Linked DNA regions of Tamandua tetradactyla. The main gene of each other region encodes a partner of the protein of the gene in region 3 in a complex. Links are inferred from orthologs where the notes say so. Each region holds a gene or a part of one and is shown on either strand. Other genes may lie near its edges. The genes, in order: MORF4L1, MORF4L2, MEAF6 and KAT5.

Region 1 (7,368 bases), on a different chromosome or scaffold from region 3:
TGGATTGCGACCCAAGTTCAGGTCAGGAGGACGTCAGCCTCACAGCTCCTTCAGAAATGACACATGAAAATGAGCTTCATCTCAGGGGATGTTTTCTTCTTACTGTTGGTTGATGTTTCATTACTATTTGCGCTAAAAGAATATTGTCAAACATATACCAAATAAAACACATTTTATTCTTCCATGGAACTCATATTTGAAGATTTTAAGTTCACTGAATTCATAAATGCAGCATCTAAGAAAGTGTGCTAGTTCTCTGTGGTCTGCTTTCTTAACTAATAAGTAGCAAATAAAAGAAACACAGACCATGACATCTCACGTGTATGCAATGTGTGGCCCTCGTATGGATCCTGATTTGAACCAGCCGATCATTAAAAAAAGCATGGATGAAACACTTGGGGACAGCTGGGTGCTGACTGCCCACATGAAGATATTAAGGAATTCTTTATTTTTTAATAAGTTTTTTTTGGGGGGTGGGGTGGGGGCTGCATGGTCCAGGAATCGAACCTGGGTCTCCCGCATGGAAGATGGTATTCTGCCACTGAACCACCTGTGCACCCCAAGGAATTATTAATTTTTAAATTTAATAATGGTATTGTGTTAAAAAGGGATACTTGTATTTTAGAGAGACATACTAAGTTATTTATGAATTAAATAGATATGGCAGCTGGGATTTGTGTGCATGTATTGCTGGGGCTGCGGCAAGGAGAGGAGGGATGAGGGGTAAGAATGAAACAAGATGGGCTGTGTGTTGATAACACAGAAGCTGAGTGATAGAAGGAGCAGGATTCACCGTATTATACCCTCAACTTTTGTACATGTTTAAACATTTCCATAAAATTAAATGTCATTTGATTATGCAAAACCAAAGAGGCTTTAAGCTTCTCAACCCAGTGATCAAACTTAGCATCCCTAAAAGTGAGACATCCAGACATTATGTGCCTGCTGATGCCACGGAATGAAAAGTGGGTAGCATCACCTATAACATACTCTCGTCAAAAACTTTCAGCTTGAATCTAATCAACACTTTAGATCTCACTTTAAGTTTATAGGAACAGGAAAGAAGAAAAAAAGGTAAGGTAAACATTACTGACCGTGAGTAAATAATCAGGCAAATCCAGAATGTCAGATATTAAAATAGCCAATGTCATGAACAAATACTAATTCTAATACTAATGCTAATACTAATCCCAATGCTAATCCTAATGAAGATGTGTCATTTAGAGAGACTGACCCCTGGCAGTCTGCTAATGCCAATGTACTCTTTCTTAGAAATCTGTTTTTAAATGCAGAAAGAAAAAAAGCCCACATAGGTGTATAGAAGGTAAAATATTACATTGAAGTACAGTTATCAAAATATTTTTAGAATGCGATATGCTGGTGTTTATGCCTCAATATTAATGAATTAAATGACAACATCTAGTGGCATGCCTAATAATTCCAGTAATTTCAAAGTAGTGATGAATGTAAATATATTTTAAATATCTGCAAGAACTTTAACATGATATAAAAATATCTGCAATTTCTACTGGCGACAAAGTCCAGGGTGCTGCTAATGCTAATGTAGTTGTTACCTTCATTTTTAATGAAGGGAAATGCTATATTTCAACTAGAGTCAATAAAGAAGTAAATTTTTTCCTATTCAACCTTTGAATTTTCCTACTCACCTTTTGAATTGCATTCATAGACTCCGGTTAAGAATCTTTGGCCTAGTTGTAAAAAGATGTAGGGGATTTAACAACCAAATGTCATTTAATGGATCCTGTTTTGAAAAAACAAATATGAAAATATTTTAGGGATAATAGTGGAAATTTTAGTATGGAGTACTGTATGATTTTAGGGCATTACTGTTAATTGTTTTGTATGTAATAATGGCACTGCGGCATGTACAAGAATGCCTTTATATTTCGGAAATGCATACTGAAGAAGTCAGGCTTCAAGAAATCATGATGTGTACACACACGCACACACATAGATGGGAAGATGTTCACAATTGTTGAATTTAGATGGCATATATTATTATTCCATTTTCCTGTTTGAATTTTTCATAGTTAAAAGAAAAAAGTGATTTAAGATGCTTTTATTGAGGAATAATGCAGATATGGTGATATGAATTAATTGTAAATGTATGGCTTGATGAATTTTTACCTAAGGAAGCATTCATATAACTATACCAGATCAAGTTATAAAATATTTCCAGCACCTCAAAAGTTCCCTGTCCCCCTTTCCCAGTTAAACTCCCCTTCCATTTCAGTTAACCACTTCTCTGATTCTGATCACCATTGAGAAAGTGTCTGGTTTTTTTTGCACAATGTTGTAGTTTGCTGGCTGCCAGAATGCAATATACCAGAAACGGAATGGCTTTTAAAAGGAGAATTTAATAAGTTGCAAGTTTACAGTTCTAAGGCCGAGAAAATTAAGCTTCTGAATTAAGCAAGTCTATTGAAATGTCCAATCTAAGGCATCCAGGGAAAGATAACTTTGGTTCAAGGAGGCTGATGAAGTTCACAGTTTCTCTCTCAAGTGAGAAGGCACGTGGTGAACACAGTCAGAGTTTCTCTCTCGGCTGGAAGGGCACGTGGTGAACACAGAGTCATCTGCTAGCTTCTTCTCCTGGCTTCCTGTTTCATAAAGCTCCCCGGGAGGCATTTTCCTTCTTCGTCTCCAAAGGTCGCTGGCTGGTGGACTCTGCTTCTCGTGGCTATGTCGTCCTGCTCTATTGTCTTTGAATCACTTCATTCTCCAAAATGTTTCCTCTTTCATAGGACTCCAGAAATTTATCAAGACCCACTCAAATAGATGGAGACATGTCGTCACCTAACCCAGCTTAACAACCACTCTTGATTAAATCACAGCTCCAAGGAGACAATCTGATTACAGTTTCAAACACATAGTATTCAGTAGGGATTAGAAGAAACAGCTGCCTTTACAAAATGGGATTAGGATTAAAACTTCGCTTTTCTAGGGGATGCACATCCTTTCAAACCAGCACATGCAACATGACTTACCGACATAGTAAAACAAACTTCTAGAGATCGATAATACCATGTTTGGCAAGGATGTGGGAAAATAAGCCCTTTCTCAAATTACTGGTTGAAATGTAAATTGGTGAAGCCTATCATAGGGCAGTTTAAAATGCCCACACTCTGACTTAGATATTCTATATGCAGGGAACCTAAAAAAAAAAAAAAAAGAAAAAGAAAAGAAATGTGCATAAAGATGGAGGCTCAAACATATAGGTCTCTAATAGTGAAAAGATGGAATTAGCCTAATTGTCCAGCTACACAAGCGAGATTAATTCTGGTATATTTATAATATGTCATGAACTATTAAAAATGTGACTTAGATGGGTATGTGACTGGAATGATCACTAGGCCATATCATTAAGTTAAAAAAGAAGACACAGAACACATGAACAGCCCATTCATGGTAAGAAAAAAAAAACATAGGAAAGGGCTGAAAAAGATATACATACCAAGCAGTACAAAGGCAAATGGGGGAAATCAAAGGAGTTCCTTGAGTTTTGCCCTGCATGCTGAACTTCTGAGTTGCTGCATCAGATACAACCCACACACTCAAGTATTGCTTGTGTCACTAAAACGTAAAGGTAAAAACTATTTTAACTTTAATGTAAATAATAGACAAAATGCTAGGATAAAGAAACGGCACGGATACATAGGCGACTTTTGTTCCCAGGGGAACTAGAACAGAAATGACAAGGAGACTTTCCACTATCTCTGTTTTTATAATATTTAATTAAAACAAGATTTTTAAGGATTACGTATTCAAAAATTTGAAAAATGCATATGGAGTAGTTTTGTGGGGGGAGGGAGTCACAGAGGCCCTGGCCCCTTTCTTCGTGTGGTTAATAGCACAGTTGTGCCAAAGGAGTTGTAGAGACAAGATGATCCGTAATCAGCTGGAATAAAGAGCTCGGGTTACTTGTGGGTTTCTGTGATAGAACAAAGGTCGTGTAGGAGAGGGGGCTTGGAGGAGAAACAGGAGTCAGACAGACGGAGAGGGGCTTGGAGAAGCCACGGAGACCAGGGTGGACGGAGGAGCGTGGGAGGGCGGGTGGGGGCTGCAGACGCGTGCAAAGCCCAGGCGGAGGGATTAATCCTCGGGTTCACGTTGGTTGAGCTTTCAGCCCGTTAAGACACCACGCTAAGCCTTTAACACGAAGTCCTCACAGTACACCCCAGGAAGGGGCTACCAGCCCCATTTGGCAGCAGAGCAAACCGAGGACTTTGCGGTCAGGGTGGCGGGACGAGGACCTGGGAAGGCCGTTCGCGGCGACCGTGCGCGCATCCACGAGACCAGCTCAGCCCGCGACAAAAGCCTCCGGCCGGCGTCGCTGCCGTCTGTGCACACCACCGGTGCCTTCCCACGGGCGGTCCTCTGCCCTCCAGCGGCCGAGCTCCACCCCCAGACCGCGTCCCGCTTCGACCGCAGCTCCACCCTCCCGGCCGCAGGGCCGAGGCCGGAGAAGGAGGGTCGGCGCAGGAGACAACCGACCACCAAGCAGTTTGGGAGGGAGTTGGCCGCCGCACGAAGCTTCCGGTCGGGGACCCTATCTCCCACCGCCTTCCGGCCAGACTGCAGCCCCCAAAGCTTTCCTACGCACCCCCGACTGGGGACCTGCCACGGAAAGCGGGCTCACCGGCAGCCCTGACCCCTCCCCCGCCCCGCGGCGTCCCCATTTTGGAACTACCGTTCCCGGCGTGCCCCGGGGCGGCGCGGACGGAAGGGCGCCTGCGCGGCGGGCAACCGACGGCTGGAACTGAGGCTGCGCGGGTCGCGGGGCTGTGACGTCTGCGGGCGCTGGCAAATCGGGCGCGGGATGTAGAGTTGGCAGAGCCTGACGGCGCGGCTGACGCTGAGTTGGGTGGGGTAGAGAGTAGGGGGCGGTAGTCGGGGGTGGTGGGAGAAGGAGGAGGCGGCGGCGAATCACTTATAAATGGCGCCGAAGCAGGACCCGAAGCCTAAATTCCAGGAGGGTGAGTCCGGACGCGGGAGAGAGGCACTCAGCGGCGCAGGCGGGGGAGGCGGGCTCGGGGTGGGTGAGGTCTGGGGGCCGGGGGCGGCGTGGGCTGCGCCCCGAGAGGGCGGCGGGTGGCGCTTTGTGGGGACAGCGCATTGCGGAGGGGAGTCTCACTGCGTCATGGGGAGAAAACGCCGTGGGAAGCGGCAGCGCTAGGCAGGCGGTGAGAACTGCAGAGGGAGCGTCTTGCGCGTGGCGGACCTCGGCCGAGTGTTTGTTATTGTTCTGAAGAAGGGGGCGCGGAGAACGCAGCCTATTGTAGGGAGGCGACTGGGACGCCATGGCGGCGGGTAGGGGAAGTGATGTGGCGCGGGGGGAGGGGAGGCAGCGGCGGCTGTTTCGGGCGCCGGGGCGGGGTCGCCCGGCCTCGCCGACGGCCGGCTTCTAGCGGTCGAGGGCCGCCTGCAGCTCCCGGGTGGCCGCGTGCGGTGTAGACGCCCGGGTGCGCCGCGGGGGTGGGTGAGCGCCCCAGGGCGGGAGAACTGCGTTGTAAAATGGCCGCCGCAAGATGGCGGCCCCGCCGGGGCTGCCGGCGTCGCGGCCTCGGGCGGCAGACGTAGCTTCGGGGCGGATGCAGCGCCCCCCTCGTCGCGACCGCGCGTTTACCTCCGAAAGGCGGGTGGGACGAAAAAGACAGCCGGGAGCGGTGCCGCCGGCCTCGGGCTGCCTGAAGGCCTCTGGTCTTGCGCTCCGAGAGCGGAGCGCCGAGGTTTCCGTGAGGAGTGCGCGCTTCCTGCTGTGCGGCTCCTCGTGAAAAGGAAAGAAAAAAGCAGTGGCTCGTGTCTCCATTTCGAAGTCCTGTTGCCCGGATGTTAGGCTAACTGCAATTAGAATATGACGAAGAGTGATTTGAGAGCTCAATTGGCTTTTATTAGTTGCCTCTGGGTCAGATGTTTCGGCTGGCGTTAGCAGTGGGTGCTCGTGGAAGATGGGGCCTCCACGCGCGAGGAGGAAGTAAATCCTCTAGCCGAAAGGAACGCTTTCACGCCGGCCAGTTTTCATAAATGCGGATGTCCATACGCCCTGTATAAAACTTTTGTTTCAGGAATGTTCTCACATCGGTATGCGTTCGAATTACTTTTGGAGTCATGTAGCCAAAATCCAAGGGTATTATGTTTTTATGGAGTATTTAAGGGGTTTCCAAAGGTATTCTGGATAATGGTTCTTTTTAAATTGCTTTTAAAAGACTCTGTGACCGTGCTGTCATTTTTTGTTGTTAAAAAGTGTGGGTTTACAGAAAAATGATGCTTAAGATGCAAGATAACGTTTGTTATCATTGATGAAAGCACATTTTTATAATTGTACTATTGACTGTAGTCCGTGGTTTAACTTAGCCGTCACTGTGTTGTGCAGTTCGTTTTGGTTTTTTTTTAATTTTAGTAACATGTACACCCAGAAAATACTTAATACCTCCTGTGTCCCACTTGGAGAGATTGCGACTTTATCGTACGTCCTGTGGCTTCATTATCTTACTAGGTGCTTTAGACCAGGGATCCTTAATGTAGGGTCATTAGACAGAATTCAAAGGGTCCGGTGAACTTGGACGAAATTCTGTGTTTCAGTTATGATTGTAAGCCAAATAAAAACAGTCCACAGTAATATTAGCAGTACTGTGATTGTCGCCAGCAAAAATCAGTTATTTCCATATCGACATTGTGGTTACTGAATGCTCTTCATTACCTCAAAATGATAGTTATTGCATCAGCAGTTAAATCTTAACTAAGGAGCATGTGTAATACCATAGGAAATTGTACTTCAATGTTTTGACAACTACTATTTCAGTTACAGTTGGTTTTATTTGTATTTCAGAACATTCTAAGAGGAGGCCCATAGGCTTTAACAGGCTGTCAAGGGTCCATGATACAAAAAATTAATCCCTAATATAGGATATCAAAGCAGGAAAATCACTGGCATCTGAAACCATTTTACTCATGGCTTCCTGGAGGAAGTGTTTTATTTAGTTCTGAACTAGAGAGATGTAGAGTGAGGTGGGTAGAAGTAAATGAGAGTCCATGTGCTGCTATCCATAGTGGTTTGAGGAAGCAAGGTAGGGGTAAATTTTTGAAAGGTTTGCAAGAATCTCTTAACATCGTTTTCCGTGTGTGTTTTCTACTTTCGTATGAATACTGAATTCTCTAGCCATCTTTAGTAAATTACAGGTATTTATAAAATACATTCAGAATCTTTTGTAAGGAGGAAAGGAATATTCTGTTAATGCGAGAAGAATCATCTTGAAACACGATAGAAGAGTATATAATGATAGGGATATGAAATAACAAAATGAGGAGATAGCATTTTTTGCTGTTTATGATTCCTTTAAATTTTAA
Region 2 (8,010 bases), on a different chromosome or scaffold from region 3:
ATCTCAGCATTGTACTTTTGAGGAATTGCCCTTGCTCTATTCTCTGTCCCCAGTTTCTAATCGTTTTACCTTAACCTCAAGATCTTGAAAGAGAATGTCCTCCAAAGACCCTGAGTAGTGCCCCACCTCTCCAACCATATCTTGTCACTCCTAGCAGTATATGGATATCCTCATCTGTTCAGTCACACAGTAAAACACAACAACAACAAAAAGAACAAACCTATACAGTTTTCAATGGGTACCTTATGGAGTCTGCCTTTCCAAGCTGAGCAGTCAGATTTCAGGTCCCTGAACGTGTGTGTGTGTGTGTGTGTGTGTGTGTGTGTGTGTGTGTGTGTGTCATGAATTTGCCTTTAGAGGGTCTATCTGCTCACTTTTAAAACCTGCAAATCATATATATGGGGCCTGGAGCCTTCAAAAAATATCCTTTGAGGCCCTGACTGAGGACCTCTTTGCCACATATTCTGCTCTTTGCTATCCTCCTTTCTTAGTAGCTCTGCCCTCTCCAGCACTCACCTGGAGTGAGAATGAAGTCCTTTAATGCTCCTAATTCTGTCTCTTGCCCCCAAATTCCCTTTGCCTGGGTTTCTTGCCTGCTGGTGAACAGTTTTTCATCAGTTAGCCAAGATTGGCTTCCATGATTTTCAACCTCTTCCTACTCTCAAACACCCAATGGATATACTATTTTTCAATGACAATGCCACATTAGAGCAGTGCTTCTTTGTGGCATTGTCATTGAAAGTCATTGGTAGTCAGAGGGTCTACCAGACCCTCCGAGGGGTCTGGTAGAGGGGGGCTGCAGGAGGGAAGAGATTCTCCTTCTAGGAGAACTTACCAAAATTTCTGAGAAAGAGACTTTTTCAATCTAAAATAATCTACCTCTCCAGATTTTCATGTGATATATCACTACCAGAGAAGTGTGTGTTCTACCCACCCTATGGTTAGGAAGGACTCCCCTAAAGAGAAACCTATATGTTCTCTTCCATAGAACAGATCAAGCCCTTTAAAAAAAATTTAATTTGGTAACCTTCAAAAATACTAAGCTACAAAAATACACAGAGGTAGAAAGAATGGTATAATGAGCTATCATGTTCCCATCATTAAGCTTCAACAATTTAGAGGCAGTACTTTAAGTAGCAGTAGTTTGTTCTCTTTTAATAATATGACAGCTGATCTTTTCAAAACACATACCTTTTATCATTCACAGTGGAATGGGGACTGTAGGTGAAAGTTATAAGCATAAACAAATGTATCACTGACAAAATGGTTCCAGGAATCCTCATGAGGCAATGCACATATTGTAGGAGTCAGCACTCACTGGTGGGAATTAGTTCTCATCTCTGCTAGTTATGCACAACATGGATGATTTCAAACAATTATTCCAAGTGAAGCCTGTGGTTCTCAAAACCACAAACTTAGGTTTTGTGACTCAGGAAGGGAAAACCAAGAGATTAATGTGTAAGTCTGGAATCCCAAGGCCACCCAAGAACAACAATGATTAGGTTCAAGTAGAGATCTTAGTGTTTTCTTCCATTTGAAGTAACCTCTTTTTGCCAAAAGAACGGGGGGGGGGATTTCATCTACAGGAGAGAGTAGCTAGAAGAGAATAAAACCCCTAAAATGATAAAGCTTTCCAATGTCTAACTTCATCTTCTGCTCTGGCTGTCAAAGGCTAATGAACTAGATGGATCCAGACTAATTTGCTGAATTGGTTTCATGAAATCTCTTTGGAATGAGGCAGGTATAAACAGATAAACAGAAAAATATCCTTATTAAAGATATAGCATTTTACTTAGCCTTGAATATTAGGTTTTCCTTTTAGCACATATGTTAAGCAAATATTCTTTTAAAAATCATTCCATAAATCAGACAAAACCAAATGAAAACAAAAATCAAATTACCCTTAGAATGGACCAATTTCCATTCCTACCCAGAAACCACAGGGTGTCCTTCCCAGCCCCTCAGAGCAGACAGACCACTACTTTTCAAATCTAGTAAGGATCTCTTAGCCACTAGACAAGACAAGCAATGCCAGCAGACACTGTTGGGTAGGTTGCACCTTGAACAAGGGTGCCCAACTGAGAGGGCAGAAGTGGGGGCTGAAATTCATGCTTTAACTACCCTGATGGAGGCTGTAACATCTCAGAGAGAGAGAGAAACATTTTTTTCTAATTATTCCACTGGAGTGGACACTTTTCTGAAATTTGTTCCCAGGTGGCACGTTTCTAATTAGCACAAAGGTACTGTATGAGCTAATGGAGACCTTGATGATAAACACAGGATTCTTGCAGTTTCTAGAAGCCCTGTGAAGGCTGAGACCATAATCTGTCTGGCCTTGGGCACTGGAGCCAAACAAACACTGATCAAAGCTATCTTTTCCCTTTCAGTTGCAACAGATAATAAAGACAGCAAATCAGGTATAAATTCAAAAGGAAGACTAACATTTTCTGGGGACCTGATAAGAGTCAGGAATCTGCTGAAGCTCTGCCCCACTAGTAAGTAAAGGAGGCAGGAGAGTATTCATATTTGAGAGGGTAGCATGACTTAATGGGACAAGCATGGGTCTTGGAGTTAGAAATCTGAATCCTCACTCTGCCATTTACTAGCTGAGCAACTTTGGGTAAGTATTTAAGTTCTCTGGGCTACAGTGAGGATTCATGAAGATAACAAAGATAAAGAGCTTGGCACTTTAGGAGGTATTCAGTTCCTGCTATCACCCTGACTCCAAAGTTCATTAACATTATTCCCACTCTTGGGCTTGCAACTTCAGTAAGCAGAGTAAAGCATAAGGATAGGTCTGCTAGACAGAATACTGGAATAGAGTCAGGAGATGTGAGTCTCAGTGTGAGACACATCCCTGACACAGTACCTTGGGTAAGTTACTCCTCTCTTCTGACCCACCAATAACACAGAACACCCCAAGCACTGACTCTGAGAGGAAAGAGCAGAGGAAATCATTTTTCTTGGGTACCTATCATGAGACATGTGCCATACTAGGCCTCTAACTCAACGCTGCCCAGTAGAATTTTCTGTGATGAGGGTAATATTCTGTATCTACACTAACACTATCACCAGTAGCTGGACATAAGTAGCTATAAAGCCCTTGAAATGCAGCTAATGCAATTAAGGAACTGAGTTTTAAATTTTATGTCTTTTAAATAGCCACCTGTGGCTAGTGGCTACCATAGTGGATAGTCGAGCTACAAGATTATATGCAGGAATATTTGTTCTCCTGTAACATATGGTGAAACTGAGGCTCAGAAAAATGAAAGAATTTGTTGAAGGTCACTTAAATATTAAGTAACAAAACCAGATTCAAAACCTGGGAGTAGAAAGTTTAGCGGAGTAGCAGGGTCACATATACCTGTGATTATCTGGATTTCACTATTTACAAATTGTATGACCATAAGAAAAATACTTACGGTCTCTAACTCACTTTCATCATCTGCAACACAGATCTAAACTAAAAAAAGCTAGCTACAGGGTAGGAAGAGTATTTTGAGAACTATAACAACAAGAAGAGAAACACTCAAACTTTTGTGTGATTTCCTATTGTAAAATGAAGAAGAGAGGGAGAGTTAAAATCATCAAAACATTTCCATTTACCTTGTTTGAGTTCCTGCCCTCTTCTTGACCCTCTAGTAAGCCAAAGCAGGAACAAGGTATCTGTAACACATTTCAAGGCCCAGAAAGCCAAGCTACAAACGGTCAAACAGAGTACTGTTAAGGGCTTGAGCTTGTGAGGCAGGTAGAATTCAAATTCTGGTTCCCATACTTGTCATGTGTACTTGGGAAAATAATTTGACATCTCTACACATTAGTTCCTAATCTGTAAAATGGTATTGATAGTATGCAGGGGGCCCTAACAATACATTGACATCACTTATTATTTTGCTTTATATTCCATACCACCCTCTAGTGGTACAAACAAAAATAAGCATTGCATTTCTGCCCTCTAAAGCAGTGGTTCTCAAACTTTAGTGTGCATCAGAACACAGCTTGTAATAGCACACACTGCCAAATCCCAATCCAATAATTTTTCATTCAGTAGGTTTGAGGCAGGGCCCATGAATCTGAATTTTAACAACTTCTCAGGAGATGCTGACACTGCTGGTCCAGAAAACACTTTGAGAACCAGTGTTTTAACCTTCCCCTTTTACATAAACAAATACACGTATATATGTGTATGTGGGTATATATACACACACACATATATATGTATGTTTATATGATTGATAGCTGAAGAGGTATGATTTTCTTGTTTGATTGTTTTTTGTAGCACCACCTAATAAGGATTTTATGAGGAATAAATGAGACTATCCATTTGAACATAGAATCTAAACCTTAGAAAGCATACAAAAAGTGAGGATCATGGAACATACATTGTTTGTCCAGTGTCACAGGGCTAATAAGTCATGAAATAGGTTTCAAAGCTAGATCTCTAATTCGAAAGACACAATACATTTTAGCAGCAGCACTACTAAAAATGGGGTACAAACACATAACACATAAATCTGAAAAATTTTTCAAGAGGAAAGGAAGATCAGTGTTCAATACCAAAGTCCAAGTTTTATCTCAGAGTTGTTATCTATCTTTACTGACTAAACAGCCATCTGTATTTTTCCTTTGGAGGGCGGGAGTTGTGAGAATGTGGGGGAAAAGGTGAAGAGAAAGGGATAGGTTGTTCATCAACACCAGTGCCTGAGGTCATTTATAAACTCTGACAAAAGAAGGAAAGGAATAAAAGAGAGGGATGGAGGGGGAAAAATTAAAAAGGGACGGTAAAAAAAGGAAACAAGGAAAAGCATGTGAATCTTGAGCCAATAAAGGTTGACTTAATTTTAATTGTTCCCTAGAAATGAAAACTATATACCATCACCATAGATTGACGAGTTCAACAAATCCCACCGAGGTTGCGGGTGGGGGGCATGGGGGTGGGGGCAGAGGAGGTGGAAATCCCATAATTCCAGGGCTCAAAACAGCCAATCCTTTGCTGGGATTTGGCGGCATCTAGTGGCAGCATCTAAATGTATAAACCTCATCCAGAGAACTTTCTGGAAAATTAACTGAACGTGAACTCGCCTGAACAGCACTGTTGTTGGAGATCGACAAAAAGGTAAGAGAACCTCAGCCCCCACAGAAATTCAGAGTCCATAGTGGAAGGGCAGGCTGTCGTATGTAGTTATTCCCCACAGAAAATTGTATTTGTGCCAACAGAATGGCACGTAACTTTCTGGGCGGGGCGGGAACAAGAGTAAAGGATACTGGATAAATGAAAGAAGCTGCCCCCTTAGAATTGCTAATTTGGGAATGGAAAGGTTTGGCGTTTTTTTTTTTTTCCTGGTAACGTATATACAACCTTAAATTTCCCCTTTCACAACATTCAAATAAATGATTTAGTGTTGCTAATCACATTCACCACGATCTGTTACCAAAACTTTGCCATCTCCCCAAACCGAAACTGTATACCAATGAAGGTTTGCCTTTTAACCATTGGAGGGCTATAGTTTAGAACAGGATTTTGATACTGAGAAAAACGTGTGAAGAAAGTGTATTAGAGTCTAAAATTGAATTGATGGGGCATACCGAAATACTGATATATATAACAAAGGCCCTTTTTTCTGTTTCGCTGCTTGACTTAATTGGTTATTTCCTTTTTCATTACAATAATTTTCAAACATATACCACAGTAGAGAATGACCACTATAATAATGGTATATAATAATGATACTATAATAATGCTTATATAATAAGCACCCACACGCCCATCTAATTCAACAGTATAAAAGAACAGCTCACCTATAAGAAACACACACACATCGCTTGTTTAGGGACAGACGCGCGTGCTCGCACACAAACGCGCGCGCACACTCGTCCAAAAACAGAAGCCGGCCCCAGTGCTTAGGGCGCACGCTTATCTGCCAGCGCCATGAGCGTCTGCGCACACACACAGCCCAACGCAAGGCCACGCGAGTTAGTCCGCGTACACCCACCGACCCCAACGTCACGCGCCCGCGACACCCACCATCCTCACTCACACGCACATAAAAAAACTCCAGCGGCCTTTTTTTTCTTTTTGCTCAGATCGTTGCGCAAGAGGTTCGGGGGCGTGGCCCCAAACTGGACCAACTGCTTCCCCACCTGCAGGAACCTTAGCTCATTTCCGCCCATCCGTTTCCGCAGGCCACGTAGACACTTCCTTTCCCAGTGGGGGGTGGGAGGAACCCATAATCCTTCCCTGCAGGAAAAAAAAAAAGCAACCTTCTGATCGGGGGAACTCTGGGTTGTGAAAATAGGCCACGTGAACATCCTGTCCTATAGACTTATGACCCAACGGCTGTCGCCTTTTTGGAAGGTGGGCTAAGAACCTAAGAGGGCGGGCATGATTGGCTGCAGCGCGCACTAAACGAGAAAGATGATTGGTTTCCTTCAGACCTTAACCGTGAAGAAGCGGTTGCTAGCACCCCCCTTTACTGCGGCGAAGTGTCATTGCTGACGTGGTGGTCTTCGTCCAATCGTTTGGTTATAGAACATTCTAAAACTTAGAAAAGACGAATTTGATTGGCTGAAGGATGTAAGCCCGCCTCCAGGGTGACGTGTCTGCCTATGGATATCAGTTGCCAGAGAAACCTGGCTTTAGTATGGCGGTTGGAGGAACGGCGGTGATCACACGTCGGCTGCTGGGAAGAGCTGGATTCGCGTTTCAGGTTTCGGGGTGGGGGTGGGGAAGAAGGGTCGATTATTTCCCTTTATTTTCATGTATATAGATAGGATTACCTAATGGCTTTACAATCATATAGCGTTGGGTTTAAATCCCTACTCGCCAACGCCCAGCTTGGGCAAAGATCATGTTCTTTCTGTGTCTAGGTTTCCATGTTTGTAAAATGGTGATAATAATCGTATCTACCTCGGAGATGTGTATTGAGGGTTAAATATAATAGTACATATAAGGCACTTAATACGAAGCCTGGCTCCTAAGGATATTAGCCATTATTATGGAGATTAAATTCCCACGTAATAGAATGAGAAAATAGAGCATAAATTATGCAGATTTGCTTATTATACTGCCTTACCTGCCCATCAACTTCTTCTGATGAATTAGTAGATCATAAGAAACATATCATCTCTACCATTAAAATAATATGCTACCTGAGATCTGCTTTACAATAGTGGAGGTGGAGATTTTCCATATTGAAAAGTTAAAAAGAGACGGAGAACGAAAGCTGGAAATCAACCACATGCAATGAGTAGACCTTGTTTGAATCCTGATTCGAACACCCCAACTGTAATAGATACATAGGGAGAAATTGAACACGGATCCAATATTTGATGGCTTTTTTAAGAAATTGATAGCGATATTTTAGGCGTTGTAATGGGAATGTGGTTATGTTTTTTAAATTATTTATATCTATACAGATATATACTAAAATAGTTGTAGATTAAATAATATGCCTTTATGTTGATGACTAGGATTTGCTTCAACATAATCTAAGCAGAAGGAAGTGGGCAGGGGTATAGATGAAACAGATTTGCCCTGAATTAATAGTTTAAGCTGAGTGATGAGCCTTTGGGATTCTTTATATTATTCTACTTTGGTATGTTTTTGGAATTTTCCATAATATAAAAAAGTCAACTATTCCGTGAGCTTAGGAAAAAATGGGGGGAGGCTGGTGGGTGGGGTTATAGATGAAACAAGATGGCCTTCAGCTGGTAATTGTTGAAGCTGGATGATGGATTCATGTGGGTTTATAGTACTGGTCCCTCTAAATTTGTATCCATTTGAAATTTTCCTTAATAGAAGACTTTTAAAAATTACTATATCAAACAACTAGAGCAAAGATGCTCAATAAAGTAAATTTGAAAATGTAACCACAAGGAAGCAAAAAGAAACACTGATACATTATTTATCATCTTTGGTGTCCTTTGTGTGAGATAAAATTCATTGGTTGATGGAGAAGAACTCCATCATCTCATATCTTTTTGTTTTGTATCCTTTCCTGTCCCCTTGTT
Region 3 (7,951 bases):
AATGAAAACAAATGGAATGATATTGGACATAAAGGAAGAAGCTAATATTTACATAATCCTTATTACTTGCTAAGCCCTTTATATATATTAAGTGATTTACTCCTTACAGCAACTGTTTTGGGTAGGTATAATTATTAGCTCCCTTTTACAGAAGAGAGAAGTTGAGGAAGTGAAATTTGGTTACTTGCTCAAGGTGGCATCGTTTATGAAGGACAGGGGTAAGATTTTGAGTCAGGTAGGTTTTTTTGTTTTTTTTTAATTTTTTTAATTTTTAAAAAAATATAACAACAAACGCAAACATTCTTAACTTAAGATCATTCCGTTCTACATATATAATCAGTAATTCACTATATCATCACATAGTTGCATATTCATCATCATGATCATTTCTTAGAACATTTGCCTTAATTCAGAAAAAGAAATAAAAAGACAGGAAAAAAATCATACATACCATACCCCTTACCCCTCCCTTTAATTGATCACTTGCATTTCAATCTAAATTTATTTTAACATTTGTTCCCCCTATTATTTATTTTTATTCCATATGTTTTACTCATCTGTTGATAAGGTAGATAAAAGGAGCATCAGACACAAGGTTTTCACAATCACACAGTCACATTGCGAAGCTGTATCATACAATCATCTTCAAGAAACATGGGTACTGGAACACAGCTCTACATTTTCAGGCAGTTCCCTCCAGCCTCTCCATTACATCTTTTTTTTTTTTATTAATTAAAAAAAATTTTTTAATGCCAAAAAATACCAAACAAATGCAAACATTCTTAACTTTTGATCATTCCATTCTACATATATAATCAGTAATTCACAATATCATCACATAGTTGCATACTCATCATCATGACCATTTCTTGGAATCTCTATTACATCTTGACTAACAAGGTGATATCTATTTAATGCATAAGAATAATCTTCAGGATAATCTCTCGACTCTGTTTGGAATCTCTCAGCCATTGACACTTTATTTTGTCTCATTTCACTCTTCCCCCTTTGGTCGCGAAGGTTTTCTCAATCCCTTGATGCTGAGTCTCAGCTCATTCTAGGATTTCTGTCCCACGTTGCCAGGAAGGTCCACACCCCTGGGAGTCATGTCCCACATAGACAGGAGGAGGGCAGTGAGTTGGCTTGTTATATTGGCTGGAGAGAGAGGCCACATCTGAGCAAAAAAAGAGGTTCTCTTGGGGGGGACTCTTTGTCCTAATTTTAAGTAGGCTTGACCTATCCTTTGTGGGGTTTAGTTTCATAGGAACAACCCCCAAGACTGGGGGCTCAGCCTATAGCTTTGGTTGTCCCCATTGCTTGTGAGAATATCAAGAATTCAACTTGGGGAAGTTGAATTTTCCCCCTTTCTCACTATTCCCCAAAGGGGACTTTGCAGATACTTTTTTATTCACTGTTCAAATCACTCTGGGATTTATTGGGGCATCGTTCTGGACAAACCAACAAAATCTCGTGCCCTACTCAAGGTTCCATGTGCTTATCGTGTTCAATTAAGCTATCTACATAAGTTACATTAGGAAATGCACTAGTCAAAATATAAATTTTGCACCAAATAAACATTTTTTGCTTTAGTCTCATACATAAGTTAAAAATTTTAAATATTAATTACCATCTATTTTCAGCACCCTGCAGTAATGACATTCCTTTGTTCTTCCTCATGCAAAAACATTTTTAAATTTGTACATTTAGTCACTATCATTATACACTCTAGGCATTCCTAGATTATACCATCTCAGTATTTTTTTTAATTTTATTTTTTTAAATACCAAAAGACACCAAACAAACGCAAATATTCCCACTCTGATCGCTCCACACACACAGTCGGCAATCCACAATATCATCACCATCTCAGTCTTTATTGTCTATCTTTCTTTCTGATTTCATTTGTTGAGCCAGGTAGTTATGATTTCAGTTTGTACTCTTAACCAGACACGTACTTGTCTGTCTAAGGCCTTATAACCATGGTAGCAACATCAAATTTGTTTTTGGAAGACCACCCCAGCACCATTATGGATAATGGGTTAAAAGAAGTCTGAAAGCGGAAATAAAGAGGCTGTTGGAATAAAGTAGTCAAAATAGGGCAACAACAACTTGGCAGATGAACTCACTGATCTCCCTGCTATGTGAGATATGACTTCCAGGGGCCTAAATCTCCCCGGCAACGTGGGACATAACTCCTGGGGATGAACTGTGACTGGCATCATGGGATTGAGAAAACCTTGACCAAAACAGGGAAGACAGAAATGAGACAAAACAGTTTCAGCGGCTGAGGGATTTCAAACAGGGTTTAGAGTTTATCCTGGAGGTTATTCTTACACAACATATAGATACTGTTTTTAGTTTATGGTGTATTGGAGTGGCTAGAGGGAAGTACCTGAAACTCTTGAACTGTATTCCAGTAGCCTTGATTCTTTTTTTTTCCCTCTTTTTTGGATTTTAAAAAAGGAGTTTGTTAAGTTGCAAGTTTACAATTCTAAGCTGTGAAAATGTCCAAACTAAGGCATCCAGGGAAAGATACTCTGATTCAAGAAAGGCCAATGGGTCCAGAACACCTCTGTCAGCTGGGAAGGCACATGGCAATGTCCGCTAGCTTTGTCTCCTGTCTTCTCATTTCATAAGGCTTCCCTGGGTATGTTCTCCTTCTGCTCCAAAGGTCTGTGGTTGTGTGGGCTGTCTCAGCTCTAAGGCTTTTTCCAAACTTTTTTTTCCCTTTTCTTTTTTTAACAACTCTTCACACACATACATTCCATACATGGTGTACAATCAATGGCTCACAATATCATCACATAGTTGTGTATTCATCACCATGATCATTTTTTTTAGAACATTTACATCATTTCAGAAAAACATATAAAAAGAAAAAACTCATACATACCATACTCCTCACCCCTCCCTCACTGACCACTAGTATTTCCATCTACTCAATTTATTTTACCCTTTGTCCACATCCCCATTATTTATTTATTTTTATCCATATATATTTTTTCACTCATCTGTCCATACCCTGAATAAAAGGAGTATCAGACACAGGTTTTCACAATCACAGCATTACATTGTAAAATTTGTATCTTTATACATTTGTCTTCAAGAATCAAGGCTACTGGAACACAGCTCAACAGTTTCAGGTAGTTCCCTGCAGCCACTCCAATACATCATAAAGTAAAAAGGGATAACTATATAATGCATAAAAATAACCTTCAGGGTAACCTCTTGAGTCTGTTTAAAATCTCTCAGCCACTGGCACTTTGTTTCATTTCTCTTTTCCCCTTTTGGTCAAGAATGTTTTCTCAATCACTTGATGCCAGCCAGGGAGATTTATACCCCTGCAAGTCATGTCCCATGGGGGATGGAGGGCAGTGAGTTCACCTGCTGAGCTGGCTTAGAGAGAGAGGCCACATTTGAGCAACAAAAGAGGTTCTCTGGGAGGTGACTCTTAGGCCTAATTTTAAGTAAGCTTAGCCGATCCTTTGCTGGAATAAGTTTCATGGGGGCAAACCCCCAAATCAAGGGCTCAGCCTATTGATTTGGTTGTCCCCACTGCTTACACAGAAGTTGAAGTTTTAAAATATGTAGGATGTCATCCTTACCCTGTGTTCTGATCTACCTTAGTCCTATCTAGATCAGCTTCATTCACCTCTCTACTCAAAGTCTGATTACTTTTTCAACTTTTTAAACAGTTCCTATACGGGGTACTGCTGACTTTCATAGCTTCATAGCTCTAACTCTTTGAGTCGCAGGTGTCACATAAATACCTGAAGTTTCTGGGAACAACCAGGTTACAAACAAACAGCTCAGGATCTCAGAATTTAGAAATAGCTGTTACAACTCCTGAATATATGTGACTACTGCAAGAGCTTACAATCTGGGACCCTTTACAATAGGCCCCAACCTGATAACCTATGTTCTTGACTTTAGTTCACCAAGTTTTTATATTATAGTCCATATGACTGAGACATAATATTTGTCTTTTTGTTCCTGACATTTCATTAAATATCATACACCTAGTTGCATGCCTCACAAGTCATTACAGCAGCCTTGATTCTTGAAGACAAATGTATAACTGTATAGCTTTCACAATGTGACTGTGTGATTGTGAAAACCTTGTGGCTGACACTCCCTTTATCCAAGGTACGGACAGATGAATTAAAAACAAACAAACAAAAAAAACAGGGTAGTGGCAGAGTTCTGGCCTGTCATGACGGAGACCCGGGTTCGTTTTCCGGTGTCTTCCCTTGTAAAAATAAATAAATAAATAAATAAATAAATAAATAAATAAATACACAAAATAATAAATAATAGGGGGTGGGAAAGGAGTAAAAAAATTGGGGTAGATTGCAAACTAGTGCTGAATGAGAGGGAGGGGTAAAGGATATGGAATGTATGGAGTTTTTATTTTGACTTTCTTTTTTCTGGAATGATGCAAATGTTCCAAAAATGATCATGGTATTGAATACACAAATATGTGATGATATCGTCATACCAAATTGTATACTTGGGATGGACTGTGTGGTGCCTGAAGGTATCTCAATAAAATATTTTTTAAAAATAGGGCAAGAAGGAAAGCAGCAGAGGGGATGGACAGAAGCAAACAGTTTAAGAGCTCTTCTGGAGTTGCGTCCACAGGGCTTGGAAATGGGATTAGGTTAAAGGGGTGAGGGAGAGTGAGGGTGATCCCAGGTTTTTGATTTAGGCAACTGGGAAGGATAATGAAAATTATTCACCGAAGAAGAGACTGCGGAAGTTTAAGGAAGAGCCTGTTTGGGGGCATGGTGAGTTTGTGATATCTGCAAAGGCCAGCCGTCAATCTAGGAGCAGAACACCAGACGAGTGGGATTCTCTCAGCAGGGCCAGCGAGAACCAAATGCCAGAACGCGGCTGGACGAGCGGCTCCGGAAGCCGCGCGCGCAGGCGCAGGGCGGCGGCGGGGCGCCCCCTCGCGGACCCGCGACAGCGCGCAGGGACCGCCCCTAGCTTCGCGCCGCCGCCGCCGCCCGCCTTAGCCCAACATGGCGATGCACAACAAGGCGGCGCCTCCTCAGATCCCCGACACCCGGCGGGAGCTGGCCGAGCTCGTGAAACGGAAGCAGGAGCTGGCGGTGAGCGTCGGGGGCCGGGGGCGCCCAGGTCGGGGCTCCGCTCCAACCCCCTCCCCCGGGCGCCAGCCCGGCGGCGTCTGGCCGTTACTCCGGGGGCGCAGCGGCGGGCTGGGACGCCGGCGGCCTGAGACCCGGCTGCCATTCCGTGGCCCGCGGCCGCCTCTGCTTTCCGGTTGTTCGGGTTCGGAGCTGGGACCCGGGGCCGGGCCTCGGGCCGGGGGGCGGGGCGCGGGAGCCGGGGAGAAGGAGGGGTTGGAGAAAGGAGGGGCGTGGAGGAAGGAAGGCGCCTTTGGGGAGGGGGCGGGCTGTGTGTGGGCGCTGTAGAAAGGGCGAGTGTGTGTGAGCCTGGGGAGTGGGGACGGGCGTGTCCGTGGCCCTTGGGGGTGGGTGAGGGCGGACGTGTACGCGATCTTGGAGGGGTGAAGGTAGGCGGGCGTGTCCATGGGCTGTGTGTGTGGGGGGGCGGGGGGCTCAGATTTGCCCCTGGATTTTGGGGAGGTGGGGTACGAGGAGGGTGTGGGAAGGGGATACTGTCTGACCTTTGGAGGATGGTCGGGGGTTCTGTCCTTTTGGGGACTAGGAGTAGATTCGTTGGATGGGGTATTGCACATCTAGAAGGTGACAGGCGAGGGGAGAGGACTCGGTCTATGGAGCTGGCAGTTGTGACGTGCACCCAGGGTCCTGTGCACCTTGGAGACTGACTGCTCTCCCCTCCCGTGTTTTGGTTTGGGCGTCCGGGAGGCCCGTATCACCTGAACCTATCCTTCCAAGTTTCCATAGCAACTGGCAGCCCAATGCTGGCAGCCTTTCTGAGTCAACCTGGAGGGAAGCGAGTAGGCTCAGGAAGACTGCCCACTCTTCCCTCTCCCTGGTGGCGAGACCTTTTGTGCGTGGTAGTGAAGGCTGCCCACGTTCTGCTTCAGCCCGGGTCCATGAACCTTCTGAAATATATGCGGATTTTTACATGTGTATGCGTTTTTTACTGAGGACTGACTCTACATTCTCAAGGGGTCGTTATGTCCAAAAGGTCAAGACTGCCCTCATCCTGAAAAGCCTGCCCCTCTCCATTATCATCAGTCTCTCCACAAGGGTGGTTTAGTGTGCTTGAGCACAGATCTTTGTCTCATATCCAGATTTCAGTTTGGGCAGACTTAATGTTTGCATTTAACAGGCATTATCCGTGTCCATGTTTTTCATCTCCCAGGAAACATTGGCAAACCTGGAGAGACAGATCTATGCTTTTGAAGGGAGCTACCTGGAAGACACTCAGATGTATGGCAATATTATTCGCGGCTGGGATCGATATCTGACCAACCAAAAGTGAGTGTCAGAAGCCTGTCGTGTTCTGCGGTGTTCTCTACTAATATTTGTTTTTAGAACTATATGTTTCTTTGGTACAACTTTATAGCGAGGCAGTAAAATGGTGGCAATAGAAAGAGGTTTGGGCTTGAATTGGACTCTGGCTCAACCACTCACTCCTTGAGTACCTTGGGCACATCCTACATTCATGGAATAGGGGCAAGGTGGAGGTATCACACAGGGTTGTGAGAGGTTTAAATGAAATACAGTATATGAAAATACCTTATACGAAAACACTGCGTTAGTGTTTTCCACATTTTAATCAGTCATGAGTTTTACCCTCACGATTTTTGCCATACCTGTGAGTCAATTATACCACTATTTATTTAATAATATTCTTTAAGACTTTCCAAAATGTTCAAATCAGTAAAAAAATTAAAGGACTAGTATATGAACACTAGATACTTATCTACATTCACCAATAGTGACGTGTTGCCACATTTGCTTTCTCTTTTCTAATACATATAAAGATGTATATATCTATACTTTTAAAAATGTATGTATTTTATTTTGAAATAATCACAGTCACAGGAACTTGCAAAAATAGTAGAGAGAGGTTCTGTGTACCCTTCACCAAGTTTTCACCAATGGTTGTGTTTTAAATAACTGTTGTAAAGTGTCAAACCAGTAAATTGACATTTGTACACATTTGTGTGTATAGTTCTATGCCATTTTATCACATATGTAGATTCATGTAACTACCAAAACAACTGAGATACAGAACTATTCTGTGACCGCAAAGATCTCCCTCAGGCTACCCCTTTATAGTCGTACCTCCCTCTCCTCCCAGTGCTTTTTTTTTTTTTTTTTTTTTTTGCTAAACCTTTTGAAAGTTAGATGCAGATGTCCTGACACTTTGCCTCTAAATATATCAGCATGTATCTCCTAAGAATAAGAACATTTCTCCTACCTAACCACAGTTATCACACTTAGAGAGTTGACATTGCAATAGTAGCATCATCTAATATACTTTTCAAATTTCCCCAGTTGTCAAAGAGAAAAAAAAAAGCCTTGCTGATTTGTTTTGTTTGATCCAGGATCCAGTCTGTGTTTGTGCATTGCATCTGTTTGTTGTGTCTTTTTAGTCTCTTTTAATTTAGGAGAGTCTCCCATCCTTTTTTTTTGTTGTTGTTGTTGTTGTTTATCACATAGTGTTGTAGAATGTACCACATTCCAGGTTTTTCTTTTTGTAGTCTCATAAAACTCATAAAGAGGATACATATTTTTGGAAAAAATCCTACATAAATGATGTTGCATACCCCTTGTTATATACCCATTTTTATATCAGGAGGCACATATAATCATATTGTCCCACTCTTGGTGCTGCTAAATTTCATTTCTCAGTTGTAAAAGTTCATTTTTTTTCTGTTTGTAATTAACAAGTAATTTGGAGGGTTATACTTTTAGGTAGTGTGAATATACTACTTCCTCCATACTTTTATTCAATGGTTTTAGTGTTCATGGTTGATTTTATCTTA
Region 4 (7,232 bases), on a different chromosome or scaffold from region 3:
GCGTGTGTCCGGCGGGGGCGTGCAGTGTCTGAGCGGACCTAGGGGGTCTAGAGAGGGGGCGGCAGCTATTCCCGGCTGGAGAAGTGGGTGGGACTCAAACTGGGAAGGGCCTTGCATGCCGGGCCAAATATGTGGCCTTCGTCCCTTAGAGATGAGGACTTACAAAGATGTCTAGATTTGTTCTTTTGCATATTAGGTTTCTGATTTTAGAGAGTGATGTGTGGATTATTCATTCATATACTCCAAAAATATATGGCGAGTCCCTTCCATGTGTCAGGCACTATTCGAAGAGTCTGGAGTACATCAGCGAACAAAATAGACCCCTGCCCTGATGGAGCTTACATTTTTTGCGATAGAAATAGTAAATACTAAACACAGTGAAAAAATAAATCGTTTAGGATATTAAAGAGTGATAACTGATGGAAAACAAAAAAGAAATCGAGCAATGTAAGTTTTAAAGTTTAGTTGCAATTTTAGAGTGCTTTGGGCAGGTGGCTTACAATGTATTATTTGAGCCAAGATTTTAAGGGGTGAGGGAATGAGCCATGCACATATCTGAGGGGAAAATATTCCAAAACACAGACCACAGTAAGGGAGTAGAAAGCCCAAACTCACATCATCACGGGGCAATGGACACCGTGAACATTTTGACTCTCCGGTAAAGCAAAGGTGGATAAATGGTGGCCACCAGCCCGAATCCAACCCACTGCTTGCTTTCCTACAGCCTATGAGCTAAGAAGGATTTTAATTTTTTTAAATATTGGGGAAAAAAAACAAAAGAACTTTTGTGGCTCATGAACATTGTGTGAAATTGCATGAATTATATGAAATTCAGAATTCAGGGTCCATAAAGTATTATCGGAACATAGCCACTTTCATCGTTCATATATTGTCTTTGATTCTCTTCACTCTAAAACTGAGTACAAGGCCCACAAAACCTAAAATATTTATTGTCTGGCCTTTTACAGAAACCATTAGTCAACCCCTGCTTTATTTTCTGATCAACACAAAAATAGTTTCTTCTTGTGTGCACTCTGCTGTTATCAGCTTGTTCACTTAGCAGTGTAAACTTGAAGCCTTGTGAGGTATCTGAAGCACTATTTTAATGGCTTTTCAGTGTTTTGTTGTCTTAGATGCCTCTTAGCTGTCATAGCCAGTTTCGTGTTGTGTCCAATTTCTCCTATTGCAAACGATCCCACAAAGATGATCCTTATGCCAGTTGTTCACATGTTCATCCCACCAGGGTTTGCTTTGAAGTTGTATTTGGGGAAAGACTGCATCTGTGCTGAGATCACCTGGTGGCGGTGTCCCAGAATTGGGGCAGTCAGAACAGAAAGGGAGACCGAAAGGAAGGCAGTTGAAATTGGTCATTCACTGATGCAGACAATGTTTATTGAGAGTCTGCCACGAATCAACTTCAGGCAGATTTCAGCCCTGCCTCTTGGCCAAGGTCATTCGTGACAGCCCCTCCCATCCACACGTCTAATCTAATGGCCGCTTCTCAGTGGCATTTGGTACCATTGGCCATTCCCTCTTCCTTGAAACACCCTTTTCTTGGCGTCTGGGCTACGACACTCTTCTGGTTTCCTTCCTCCTTCCTCTGCCACTCCTCATCTCCGTTGCTGGGTCCTCTTCCTGGACTTTTATCTACACTTGCTCCCTTCTTGATCCCCTCCAGGCTCATGGCTTTCAGTATTATTCACTTGCTGAGGTTTCTCACATTTATATCTTCAGCCCAGACCTCTCCCGTGATCTCCAGACTCAGTGCGCACTCACCATCTCCACTTGGATGTCTGAAGGGCGTGTCCAAAACCAAACCCTTGATTTTCATTCCCAACCTGCTTGTCCCACCATCTCTCTTGTCCGTGTCAGTCACGAATCCATCCTTCCATGTGCTCAGACCAAACACCTTAAAGTCATCCCTGATTTCTCTGCTTGGTTTGCAGTCAACCCATCAGCACATCCTCTCACTGCTTTCACCATTATCACCCAGATGCACCCAGGACTACTGCAATAGCCTCATACGCAGGAGAGGAGGGAACTTTAAAAATATAATTGACACCACGTCCCTTTGATGATCCAAACCCACCCGTGGTTTCCCGCTTATTCAGAGTAAAATTCAGAGTCCTTGCACAAATTCATCTCCCCCCACACACACAAGTTACCACTCTGACCTCATCTTTCCCCACCGTCACCCACTCCAGCCACACCGGCCTCCTTGCTGTTTCTGGGGCACAGGAAGCGCCTACCTCCCCCATTGCCTTTGCTGTTTCCTCTGCCTGCAACATTTTCTCTCCATTTGTCTACGGGGCTCACACCCTCACATCATACAAGTCCTTGCTCAAGAGTCACTGTGGGGTGCATGGATGGCTCAGCGTAGAATGCTCACCTTCTATGCAGGAAACCCAGGTTCGATTCCTGGGCCATGCACCAAAAAAAAAAAAAAAAAAAAAAAAAAAAAAAAAGGCACTGTGGTGGTTCAGAGCTGTAAGTACCAGAAAAGCATGTTCTCAAACTGAATCCATTCCTGTGGTGCAAACCCATTGTAAGTAACATCTTTGGGGGAGGTGACTTCAGTGAAAGCGTGGCCCAGCTCGATCAGAATGGGTCTTAATCCTATCTATATCTTACAAGCAGAATGAAATTCAGACATTAAAAGAGAAAGCCAGAGGAAGTAAGAAGCTAGAACTCACCAGAAGCTAAAAGAGAACTGAGATGGTGGGTGTTCGAGTTTACTAGCTGCCGGAATGCAATATACCAGAAACGGAATGGCTCTTTAAAAGGGGAACTTAGTAAGTTGCTTGTTTACAGTTCTAAGGCCAAGAAAATGTCTCAATTAAAACAAGTCTATAGAAATGTCCAATTTAAGGCATCCGGAGAAAGATACCTTGGTTCAAGAAGGCCGACGACGTTCAACGTTTCTCTCTCAGCTGGAAGGGCACATGGCGAACATGGCGGCATCTGCTGGCTTTCTCGTGGCTCTACCAAAAAGGGACTCTCTCCAAAATGTTTCCTCTTTTAAGGGATTCCAGCAAGCAACTCCACCTTCAGTGGGTGGAGACACACCTCCATGGAAATCATCTAATCAAAGGTTACCACCCACAAATGGGTGGGTCACATCTTCATGGAAACAATCAAAATGCTCCCACCCAGCAATATTGAATGAGGATCAAAGGGCATGGCTTTTCTGGGGTCCACCACGGATTCAGACCAGCACACTAGGAGAGGACGCCACAGGCATTTTCACGTGACAGAGAAGCCCAGCACCGTGGATCTCCAGCAGCCAGCCCCAGAATGCCACAGGCTTCTGGGAGAAACCATTGCCCTGATGATGCCTTGATTTGGACTTTTTCTTAACCTCAAAACTATGAGCTGTTGAAATGCCATTGTTTAAGCCAGCCCTTTGCATGGTATTTGCTTAAGCAGCTCCGGAAACCAAAACGGCCCCCTTTCCAATGAGGTCTTCTTTCACATCCCCAGCTAAACCTGTCCCCACGCTCCCCTCCACCCTGTATTCCTCATCCACTTCATTTTTTTTTTCAGAGCATTTATCCCCAGCTATCAAATCATACATTTTCCTTATTCATTTGGTTTGTCTTTCCCACTCTGGGATGAAGGCAGTGTTTCTATTGTTTTGTCCTCCACTATTTTCCCAGCTTCTAGAATAGTGTCACACTCACAGGAGGCATCCAGCTAAAACTTGTCAAATGGATGAAGCACCTGACATTGAAGAAGAGCCAGGGATGTGAACTGACATTTATGGCAGACAGGAGTTAATCCTGTAAGGTGGGCAACCCGGGGCTCAGGAGAGATGCTGATCCAGGTGGCATATAGGGAGGGGTCTTGGAGCTTCCAATGCCTGACCTAAGGCTTAGAGGATGGGTGGTTGTTAGCTATAGAAAGGGGTTGGGGGCTGTATCAGGTAGAGTTCTCTAGAGAAACAGAATCAGCAGGAGATAGATATAAAATTTATAAAATGTCTCATGTAACTATGGGAATGTAAAGTCTAAGGTTGCAAGCTGGCAACTCCAATGAGGTCCTCAACGAACTCTCAGGAAAGCCTGGCTGGACAACCATGGAAGTGTAAGAGTCCAAGGTCCATGGGGCAGGTTGTGAAGCTGGTGGCTCCAATGAAGGGTCTGGACAAATTCCACAGGAGAGGCTCACTGGCTGAAGCAGGAAGGAAGAGTGACTGTCTCTTCTGAATCCCCCTTAAAAGCCTTCCGGTGATTAGATTAAGCACCCTCATTTCAAAAGGCGCTCATCTTAGCTGATTATAAATGCAATCAACTATGGGTGCAGCCAATGTGATCATGATTTAAGTCCACAAAATGTTCTCATAGCAACAGACAGGCCAGCGCTTGCCCTACCAGACAGCCGGGCACCACCACATGGCCAAGTTAACACATGAATATTGGTTTTGGGCACCAATATTAATCGAGCACCAACTGTGTGCCACACCCTGGGACAGCAACATGAGTGAAAACAGATGAGGTGCCTGCTTTATTGGGACAGACATAAACAATTCAATAAAACAAAACAAAAATGATCGTTTGCAAAAAGTGCTGTGAAATGATAAAACAGAATGTCAGAGAGGGTGGGGCTGCCAGTGCAGGTCTCTAGGTCTCTGGGACAGCTGTCTGTCAAAATTGCTCCCCCTGCAAGTAGCACAAAGCCCCATTCAAGCTGGACTAATCAGGGACTGTCTTGTCCCATGAAGCCCAAAGGCACAATGAAGCTTTAGGAAGGGTGTCATCCCCGGACTCAACAGTGTCACCAGCAACTCAGGTTTCTTTATGTCTTCCCACTCCCAACTCCTTGGGGTTGCCTTTCTTCCACATTAAGGCCGACTCCCCTTTACAGTTGCAAGATTGCAGCCCACAGCTCCAAGGCCACCCACCTGTGTCCATGGTCATGTCCAGTGAGAAATCTCTTTCCCAGCTATGGCAGGAAAGTCCTGAACTCCCCTTGGGTTGAACCATCTTAGGGAATTTGCCAATGTCTCAGCCAGTTTCTGTGATCAAGGGCCTAGGGCTACCCTGACTGGCTTTGACTCGCATAGCTGGGGTGGGTCAGTCACATCAACACAGTAGCTGCTGGATGGGGGAGAGTGGAGTGGCTGTTAGGAGGCAGCCAGGATGTCCCTTGAAGGAGAACATGTGACCTGAGTTCTTAATGATGAAAAGGGACAGCATTAGAAGATCTGGGGAAGGTGAGATCCCACTGGGAAGGAATGGCCAGTGCAGAAGCCAGGGAGGGTGGGGGTAGTTCATTTATTCCAAGAACGAGAGAAGCGAATGTGAATAGGGAGACAGTCCCAGAGGATAATCCAGAGGTCTGAGAGTTCACAGGGCCCTTTGTGGCACTTGTATCAAAGCCATGTTTTGCTTTAAAGGCAGTGGGAGCCATTGGGGAATTCGGAGCAAAGGAATGGTGTTATCTGATTCAAGTTTTAGAAAGGTGAGCTGAGTGAATAAGGATTATTGGGGACACGGCTCAATCGAGTGGAGACCTGAGTCTAACTAGAAAGTTTTTGCAGCTGTGGAGGCAAGGGCTGAAGGGGGCAGGAGCTTGAGGAATGACAAAATGTGGTGAGAGAAAGATAGGGATCTTGGCCTGTTGGGGGCTAGCAGTTCTCCATCTAGACCCAAGATCTCTGGGAGTCTCAGTTACTTTGGAAGGAGAATCTTTATTCTAATAAATCACAGTCCCTTTATGGAAAAACTGAACACAGCCTTGTATTTTGCAAATGATGTGAGGTGGTTGAGCTTGCTAGATTCAAAGTGGGGATGTCCAGAAGGTTGTGGGGCCGAGAGCCTGAGCTGGGCAGAGGGCCCACAGGGAAGGCTTGGATCTGGGGATCCCCTGCACAGATGGCAGAAAGGCCTGGAAAATGCCTGCTGGAGTGGACAGCGGGGTGTTCTTCACAGAGCCCAGAGAGGAGTTCCTTGCAGACATGGGGACAGGAAGAAGCCAGAGTGTGAGGGAGGCAAGGAAATGGAAGCAGCACAAAGAGACACCTCTTAAGAGAAATTTGAATGAGAAGTGGAAGGAAAATGTAAACAAAACAAAAAAACTAACAGCTATATACTCAAAAAAAGAAAGCAATTGGAGACTTCCGGAGAAGATGGCGGCTTAGTAAGACGCGCGGATCTTAGTTTCTCCTCCAGGACAGCTACTAGGGGAGTAGAAGCGATACAGAACAGCTCCCAAAGCCACGACAGAGATAAAAAAGACAGCGTACCCCATCCTGGAACGGCTGGCTGGCTAAGAGAACCCGCTCTGGTGAGATCGCCGAGGGGCGCGGGCTTCACCGGGCGGCAAGCGGCCAGAGTCACTCCCTGCCCCCTCCCCGGGTCGGCTGGGAGAATTGGACAGGCGGTCCCCTCAAACCGCGGCGGCTGGCGCCCACATCACGTGCGGACCCCCGGACCAACTGAGAGAATTGGATCGGAAATCCCCAGGCCGCGGAGAACGGCGACGGGGGGGGGGGCCCTTCCAAACCCGTGACTCCCCGGGAACGTGCACTCTCCCGGGCGGGCCGCTGCCACTGGCGCCCTCCCGCCAAGCTTGGCACCCTGGGCCGACTAGGAAATTCGGACGGGCGCTTTCCCAGGCGGCGGCGGCCAGCAACCCTCCCCGCGTTCGGACCCCGGGCCAGCTGGCACTCTTCCAAGCCGCTTCGGCTGGCGAACCTCCCGGACGGCGAGAGTTTTCCAAAGTTAAAGGACCCACAGCAACTTTTACTGGTGGGACCCGCAGACAAACGTGTGCCACGAGTGCCACCTACTGGGCAGGATAAGAAAAACAGAACCCAGAGATTTCACAGAAAAATCTTACAACCTTGTTGGGTCCGACACCCAGGGAAATCTGACTAAATGCCCAGATGCCAGCAGCAGAAGATAACTGTCCACGCTCAGAAGATTGAGAATATGACCCAGTCAAAGGAACAAACCAATAGTTCAAATGAGATACAAGAGCTGAGACAACTAATGCTGAATATACGAACAGAAATGGAAAACCTCTTCAAAAATGAAATCGATAAATTGAGGGAGGACATGAAGAGGACATGGGCTGAACATAAAGAAGAAATAGAAAAACTGAAAAAACAAATCACAGAACTTATGGAAGTGAAGGATAAAGTAGAAAAGATAGAAAAAACAATGGATACCTACAATGATAGATTTAAAGAGACAGAAAATAGAATTAGTGATTTGGAGGATGGAACATCT

The links.
Region 1: MEAF6 (region 3) and MORF4L1 share a complex: the UniProt entries of both Homo sapiens proteins name them as parts of the nuA4 histone acetyltransferase complex. The link is inferred for Tamandua tetradactyla from reciprocal best matches to the Homo sapiens genes MEAF6 and MORF4L1.
Region 2: MEAF6 (region 3) and MORF4L2 share a complex: the UniProt entries of both Homo sapiens proteins name them as parts of the nuA4 histone acetyltransferase complex. The link is inferred for Tamandua tetradactyla from reciprocal best matches to the Homo sapiens genes MEAF6 and MORF4L2.
Region 4: MEAF6 (region 3) and KAT5 share a complex: the UniProt entries of both Homo sapiens proteins name them as parts of the nuA4 histone acetyltransferase complex. The link is inferred for Tamandua tetradactyla from reciprocal best matches to the Homo sapiens genes MEAF6 and KAT5.

Annotation. Positions count from the first base shown.
Region 1 is NC_135340.1:94,397,757-94,405,124, reverse strand, and holds the start of MORF4L1 (mortality factor 4-like protein 1), read left to right. Parts: upstream 1-4,359; 5' UTR 4,360-4,957; coding exon 4,958-4,997; intron 4,998-7,368. UniProt on the Homo sapiens protein: Component of the NuA4 histone acetyltransferase (HAT) complex which is involved in transcriptional activation of select genes principally by acetylation of nucleosomal histones H4 and H2A.
Region 2 is NC_135353.1:70,023,639-70,031,648, reverse strand, and holds the start of MORF4L2 (mortality factor 4-like protein 2), read left to right. Parts: upstream 1-5,005; 5' UTR 5,006-5,116; intron 5,117-6,044; exon of another isoform or gene 6,045-6,340; intron 6,341-6,529; exon of another isoform or gene 6,530-6,707; intron 6,708-8,010. UniProt on the Homo sapiens protein: Component of the NuA4 histone acetyltransferase complex which is involved in transcriptional activation of select genes principally by acetylation of nucleosomal histone H4 and H2A.
Region 3 is NC_135328.1:187,799,939-187,807,889, forward strand, and holds the start of MEAF6 (chromatin modification-related protein MEAF6), read left to right. Parts: upstream 1-4,949; 5' UTR 4,950-5,024; coding exon 5,025-5,114; intron 5,115-5,886; exon of another isoform or gene 5,887-6,078; coding exon of another isoform or gene 6,079-6,141; intron 6,142-6,318; coding exon 6,319-6,434; intron 6,435-7,951.
Region 4 is NC_135335.1:8,814,751-8,821,982, forward strand, and holds the start of KAT5 (histone acetyltransferase KAT5), read right to left. Parts: upstream 3,011-7,232; 5' UTR 2,962-3,010; coding exon 2,888-2,961; intron 1-2,887. UniProt on the Homo sapiens protein: Catalytic subunit of the NuA4 histone acetyltransferase complex, a multiprotein complex involved in transcriptional activation of select genes principally by acetylation of nucleosomal histones H2A and H4.